Saccharomyces cerevisiae S288C: one gene and its partner. The protein of the gene in region 1 interacts with the protein of each later gene in a pairwise test. Each region holds a gene or a part of one and is shown on either strand. Other genes may lie near its edges. The genes, in order: MET4 and NDL1.

Region 1 (4,390 bases):
TCTTCTTCCTTTTAGAATCCTTGCTAGCAAGGTTTCCAGTGTCTTCATCACTTGAACTGTTATCAACTTCCCTCCAATCTTCTTCGACACCACGATCGACGTAGCCTACACCATCGTCATCTACAACAAAATCGTCATGCAGCAATTCCTGGCGCTTTCTGGCCCTGTATTCTTTTTCGTCGATTTCGTCGTATATTCTGTCACCATCTGATTCGTCACCTTCGTAATCATCGATGGATGTACCATTTCGAGCGGCTTGCAGCTTTCTCAATTTTTCTAATTTTTCACTTTTAGAAGACATTTTCCACTGTTTATTTTATGCCTTGATACTATTTGGTTTCTAATAGCAGAGTGAAGACAGTTTTTTTTCTCGTGAGTCTGAATTGGTATGTGTTCGTTGTCTAGACCAAGAAGATATATATCATCCAATGAGTAAAGAATTTAATTCAGTAAAATTGGATACACGCGACGCGTTTTACTTATAGGCTAACAAAAAAATTTTAACGCGTTTGAATAGATGTGTGATGAATGAAGAATAGAGATTGCAGGCAGTACAAGAAAAAAGTTATATTTCTTTAAGAAAAATGCACGTATATATATATATATATATAATTAAACTGTATAGTCTGTTATTTTATTCTTTCTGAACCTTCTCAAAAATTTGCTTCTTTAAGCTTTCAGCTTTTTTTATTCCTTCCGTTTCACCGCTACTCAGAACTAAATTCTTTAAAAGCTTGTTTTCCGTTTCTAACGTATGTATCCGTTTTTGTAAGGATGCTGCAATTTCGGTCAGTTCATGTATCGATGATTCTAACTCCTTTTCCTTTAGTTTTTTTTTTTGATGAGATTTTTTCGACTGTATCAATAAATCTTCATCGTCGTCCCCTAACTCTTTCTTGATCAGTTGCTTCTTTTCAAAGCCGTGTAAATCTGCATCGTCATATTCATCGTCTTCATTATCAGAATACTTGCGGTCGACGGGTACTTTTTTATTTTTCAAATCTCCGGAGTGTGATCTTTTTAAACTATTTTCCTTGTGATCAGAAGAACTTGCATTTAAAGTTGGCTCGGATCGTATCTTGGCAATTTCGTCTCCACGCGTCGTACTTGACTTAATAACAGCGTTATTATGATGGACATTATCGTTTCCATTGTTACCGTCACTCTCTCTTGATATTTTATGATCGTTTCGTGAAGGTTGTCGTTGATTGTGAATATTATTACTTTTTGGATGCTTTATGCCCAGTTCCAAAATGGAGCTTAGAAAAGAAGCCTCTGCTACTACACCGTGCTCATTGAACGAAGGCGACGTTGATAAGGTAGTTGGCGCAGCAGTTTCAGCCGGAGAGGGTGGTATTAAGACACTTAAAAGTTCGTTGATGTTTTTTAGAATGGGTGCCTCTTGACTGTCATTGGTGTTGATGTTTTTATTATTATTACTGTTATTTTCCCTAATCTTTTTTTGATGATGATACGCCATTATTGCGGCTATAGCATCTATTTGATCATTGTCAAATCCCGCGCTGATCAACGAGTTATATGCGCCGTTGGGCACGTTGACCCTCGGTAATAGAGTTACTAAAACAGAGGTTGGTATAATTGAATAGTCAGGAACAGTTATATTGGGGGCTTTGTTGGAGCTGTTATTATCGCTGTTACTATCGACTTTGCTTTCCGAATGTTTTCGTTGTTGTGAAGAGGAATTTTGAGCAGAAGTGACATTGCTTAGGGGGGAGGAGCGGTTCGGTGTGTGTGTTGTCCTATGTAGTAGATTTGATAGCGCATCCACTCCATTGTCACCGGTAGTATTGTTCTCAGTTGATGTAATGTCAACATTTGTGAAGCCGCCATGGTCGATTGATGTCATATTAGTTGCGTCAGCGGGAAACTGAGAAGGGCTTCCCATAAAGTTTGGCTCAAAAGGATGGTTATTTTGCATATTGTCGCCAAAGTTGTTTGTTTCGCCGTTATTGCCATTTCTTTTGTTTTTGGACGAAAATCGAGACTTTGATTGGTCGTATTGGGAAGTTAGGAAAGTATTCCTTCTTTGAGTCAAGAAGTGAGGATTTCTTTGTCTATTATTGGTAGAAGGGTCCTCATGCAATACGTCGTGGTTGCTATGGTCGTCATTACCATTATTGCTGTTGTTATTGTTATTGCTCGGCTTATCCTCGTCTGGGAAGATGAAAGAATCGTCGGCAAACGCACTCAACTCAATGGCTAGTTGTTCATCCAAGTCAAAAGGATTTGCATTTATGCTGCTGAAAGTGTCCGCGCCATTATTGTTTGCATTATTATGGGTGGTATTCACATTCCAATCCACATTAGAGAACTCGTTATCCAGAGATGGTATGAAGTTATCCACGTAGGCCAACTGTTCTAAGAGTATTTCTGGCGTGACAGCGTGGTCATATAGGTTAGTGTTGCCCCTATTGGTAACGTCACCTATTAGGGGGCGCCTATTCTCGCTGCTGGTCACCAGAGAAGATGACGATGAGGCTGTTGCCACAAACTGGTCCAACGAGTTCGTGCTCCCCATGCCATTATTATTAGCACCGTTGTTGCTGCTAGGGTGTGTTGCGGTATCTTTGCCAAAGAGATTTATGAATTCCGTGCTGTATGAGTCGCCTTCGTGGGACTGCTCCTGCTTCATCGTTCACAGTGGAAAAAAAGGAATAAAAGTGCTTATCAGAAGTGCGCTTTATTGACGAGAGTCTGTCTAAACAGTTGACGGACAGGCAAGAAGACCTTCAGGAGTTGACTAATATATGAAATGATGTGCGTTCAAACAGACCGTTTCACCTGGCACAGATGCATGTAAACAAGGATATACGTTATTACATGCTACGGCTACATCTAGATTGGGTGGATTTAAGTTGAACGATGAAAGAAAATTCAAGCAATATGCTTGTGTGGCCCGATGACACACAATAGCATGTGCGACGAGACACCAGCTGTGTGCCGGGTGCTACCCGCGCACGTGATTAAAAGGAAACGGGGAAAAAGCCATAGCGGAAAAGTGCTCGAAGAAGCCTCGATAAATGAAGTAAAAAATTCGATATTTTTCAACGACAATAAGACGTATATAAGCATCCGTATGTCCAGCGATTGAGCTTATGCTTCTGTTCTCCGCTTTGACACTTCCACTCGGCTGTTATGACCAGCCCCAGGATTGCTACCGGAGCGGGACCGGCTCTGAGACAGTAGTAGGTTAGTCATCGCTCTACCGACGCGCAGGAAAAGAAAGAAGGCCTCAGAAAAGCTGAGTTGAATGTGTGTCATACTTGGCTGAAAAAATTGTACAGTAACGGCCAGTCACTGTCATGCGCGTGCATGTATGTGCGTGCATGTATGTGTGTATGTATATTTATATATATATAAGCACGGGCGCATGGGAGATGTGCGCTATGGAGTCGCGTAGGTTCGATGTTTTCTCCTCTTGGGTCAGCCTCTCTCCTCTTTCAACGTTCTTTCCATAATCATTTATTGGTTATTTTTCAACTTGACCAGTAAAAAGAAACTTACGTGTAAGTGACTCAGTTCTTTCAAAGGGTATTTTTTGAAGAAAAAAAAGGATTCTCACACTAGAAGTTTACTGTAGACTTTTTCCTTACAAAAAGACAAGGAACAATCATGGTTAAAGAGAGTATTATTGCTCTTGCTGAGCATGCGGCCTCCAGAGCCTCAAGAGTTATTCCTCCAGTGAAGCTAGCCTATAAAAATATGCTTAAGGACCCTTCCTCCAAGTACAAGCCATTTAACGCTCCAAAGCTATCTAATAGAAAGTGGCCGGATAACCGGATCACGAGGGCTCCTCGTTGGTTATCAACAGATTTGAGAGATGGTAACCAATCTCTGCCGGATCCCATGTCAGTGGAACAAAAGAAAGAATACTTTCACAAGCTGGTCAATATTGGGTTCAAAGAAATCGAGGTTTCCTTCCCCTCTGCATCTCAAACAGATTTCGACTTCACTAGATATGCTGTAGAAAACGCCCCAGACGATGTTAGTATTCAATGTCTTGTCCAATCTAGAGAACACTTGATTAAGAGAACGGTGGAAGCATTAACAGGTGCTAAAAAGGCTACTATACATACTTACTTGGCAACAAGTGATATGTTCCGTGAAATTGTTTTTAATATGTCTAGAGAGGAAGCTATTTCCAAGGCAGTAGAGGCCACCAAACTAGTTAGGAAACTAACTAAGGATGACCCTTCCCAACAAGCCACTCGTTGGTCCTATGAGTTTTCCCCCGAATGTTTCAGTGATACTCCAGGTGAATTTGCTGTAGAAATTTGCGAAGCTGTTAAGAAGGCTTGGGAACCTACCGAGGAAAATCCAATCATTTTCAACTTACCTGCTACCGTAGAAGTTGCCTCTCCAAATGTTT
Region 2 (2,943 bases), on another chromosome or scaffold:
AGTTTCCCCTTTTAGCGGCTGCAATTACGGGCCGTAGCATTGATGCTGCTTTGAATTACGACATTTCAACGAGTCGAACACAAGAAGAAATGGACGTCATGGCAAATGGGATCTTGGAAGGAACGTTACTGAGCGACTTGATGAGCATTTTGTCTAGAATCCCTCGTGTAGTGCTTTTGATATTGAAGACTAACGACCTAACCAGACATCTTGATGAATGTCTACAGAATCCACTCGGGCCAGAGAGGACTTTCCTGATCATGACGCAATACTGCGCCAAGACGGTCTACGACGAAAAAGTGGAAAGAATTAATTCGGAGTATGCGAGGTGGTCTATTAAATGGATGTGGGAGAACTTGACAAACTGGATAGTCTATGAGAGGCGTATTAATCAATTGTATTTTTATGATTTTGTGTTGTGGTGGAAAAAATTTATTCCGAAGACTTGGTTGTCATCTTAAATCGTTAGCGTTCTTTCTACTTGTAAATATATACGTAAAATTATATATAACAATTTTATATGTGTCATTAAACGGAAGACGTTGTTGCTATCACAGTGGATTGTGTTATTTGGGTATTTGGAATATTACAGTGACTTCTTGCAGCGTTGTTAGTTTTTGCCATGTTCTGCAAGTACAAGGTTGAAGATGTGGTCGAGACTTTGATAGTATCCTTAAACAACTTCATTTTTTTATTTTGACTGGGTAACGACCTGGTGTTCCTTCTAGTCTCACCGCTAGTGGCTTCTTCTTTGCTGACTCTTAACTTTTGCAGCGCCTCTTTGGTGTCGAGTAACTCGTGTTCCAGTAGAACGTTGCGTTCCAGTCGTCGGTCACTCTCCAATTGTAATGTCTCTATCTTATTCCTCAGTTGGATATTTTCATTTTCCAACTCATCTACCTGTATCTCTAAATCTGTTATCTGTTTCTTATTGCACTTATTTTGTTGTTGGCTCTCAAGAAGATCGCTTTTTAACTTTGATATTACTTGTTCCAAATCATTTTCATATTCTTTCGTGGCGCCTTCAAGCTCGCTCAACTGGGTCTCCAGTGAGGAGATTATCTGTATAGCTGTTTCCAAATCCAAATTCGGCACCATAGGAAAGTCGCAATTGTTGCACGTATATGTCCCTTGGATATTCCAATTAAATTTGCGAGGATTGTTCTTTCGGCCGTTCGTGGTTTGTTGTAGCCCTTATTATCCCTCTTTTTCATCCTTAATTGCAAATTTATGTATGAAAACTTTCATTTCTAATGTTATTAATTTTCCCGATTCTGCAAACTAATTGATAAAATAATTGATACTTGCCGTCACAGATGATATAGAGAACGTTCAGTTTTTTTATTGTTCTATTGTAAAAAAAAAAAAAAAAGGAAGAAAAAAGCAAGATCCGATAGGAGAAGACCTCTTTAGCGGCTTTACTGCGCTACAAATAAGGTTACGAATATGCGGAATAGTTCATGATACGTTGTTGAGTTATAGTATGTAGCCAATATTTCCTGTTTTTCCGCTGTTACCCTTTTCGAAGGATCGATGAACGCTTCTGTCACTTAGTAAGCAAATGTACGAAACCCAGAGCATTGTATGTACACCAGCAGTCGTTTTTTGTAGCTCTTTTCCATGGATGGACGATGATGGCAAGACGCGATCGTGGCGGAGCCTCACTAAGAAAAACAATTGTGGAGAATCTATACACACAGAAATCGTACTTCAAGAAATATTGATTAGCGAGCCTTTAAGCACAGAACAATCTCTATAGCCAACATCTTGTGGAAGCTACAACTGTTTTTCTTGTTCCCGCTTGAGTAGGGCCTTACAAGGCAAGACCGTATAAAATAAAGATAACTCCTCCGCCGTATCCTGAATTTCGTGTGCCCTTTCTCTCTCTCTCTCTTCCTCTTTCTTCCTTTCCCTTTCCCTCTTCTTCTTATCTCAACAACCGCCCAGCGCATTAGCAAACCACAGTACGAGCTGTACGGCTGAGCCACTGCACCTGTCTGGCTTGCCCCTTTTTGTTGAGTAACCGGGTAATAATTCGGCTGTCTAAACGATACAATCCTCGTTCCACCCACACCCATTCACCCGTCGGGCGAAATCCACCCTCGCGGCCTCGTTTAGAATACCAGGCAACGGCACCAGCAACGGCCCCGGTAACTCGATCGCGTTCATATATATCGGATATACTCTTGAGGCACAATTTTTTTCGGTTTTCGGTTTTTTCTATTATTCTTCGAGATGCAAAGCACACATTTGAGACTCACAACTCAAGATACCGCAAGCACACAGACGCTATTGTTCTCCCAAAGAATAGGTTCCTGCAGTGCTCTTTTAAGGTTTGAAGATATTGCACAAAATTGTATCTGATTTCATCTCATCGAACCTCATTCCATCAACTTCCTTTTATCAAAGCATCTTGTTTTGTTTTCGCAGAAAATTTTTCTTCCCTTTCAATTTGGCCTTTTAGTTTTTCTCCAGTCGCAGGCAAGAAGGTAAGGAAATAGAAGAAAAAGAAAAAAAAAAAAAGGGAACAATAGGTTAGATGTCGAATACCCCTTATAATTCATCTGTGCCTTCCATTGCATCCATGACCCAGTCTTCGGTCTCAAGAAGTCCTAACATGCATACAGCAACTACGCCCGGTGCCAACACCAGCTCTAACTCTCCACCCTTGCACATGTCTTCAGATTCGTCCAAGATCAAGAGGAAGCGTAACAGAATTCCGCTCAGTTGCACCATTTGTCGGAAAAGGAAAGTCAAATGTGACAAACTCAGACCACACTGCCAGCAGTGCACTAAAACTGGGGTAGCCCATCTCTGCCACTACATGGAACAGACCTGGGCAGAAGAGGCAGAGAAAGAATTGCTGAAGGACAACGAATTAAAGAAGCTTAGGGAGCGCGTAAAATCTTTAGAAAAGACTCTTTCTAAGGTGCACTCTTCTCC

What was found.
Region 2: the proteins of MET4 (region 1) and NDL1 interact in a two-hybrid assay, tested with the Saccharomyces cerevisiae proteins (2 studies listed by BioGRID).

What each region holds. Positions count from the first base shown.
Region 1 is NC_001146.8:425,998-430,387, reverse strand, and holds MET4 (Met4p), read right to left. Parts: upstream 2,654-4,390; coding exon 635-2,653; downstream 1-634. Other genes in the region: DNA-directed DNA polymerase alpha catalytic subunit POL1, read right to left, coding at 1-301; 2-isopropylmalate synthase LEU4, read left to right, coding at 3,634-4,390. UniProt on the Saccharomyces cerevisiae protein: Positive trans-acting factor capable of stimulating the transcription of the MET genes from the methionine biosynthetic pathway. MET4, MET28 and CBF1 are required for full induction of MET25 and MET16 gene transcription.
Region 2 is NC_001144.5:643,876-646,818, forward strand, and holds NDL1 (Ndl1p), read right to left. Parts: upstream 1,099-2,943; coding exon 529-1,098; downstream 1-528. Other genes in the region: CQD2 (Cqd2p), read left to right, coding at 1-461; YLR255C (uncharacterized protein), read right to left, coding at 1,725-2,078; HAP1 (Hap1p), read left to right, coding at 2,540-2,943. UniProt on the Saccharomyces cerevisiae protein: Required for nuclear migration to the bud neck during cell division.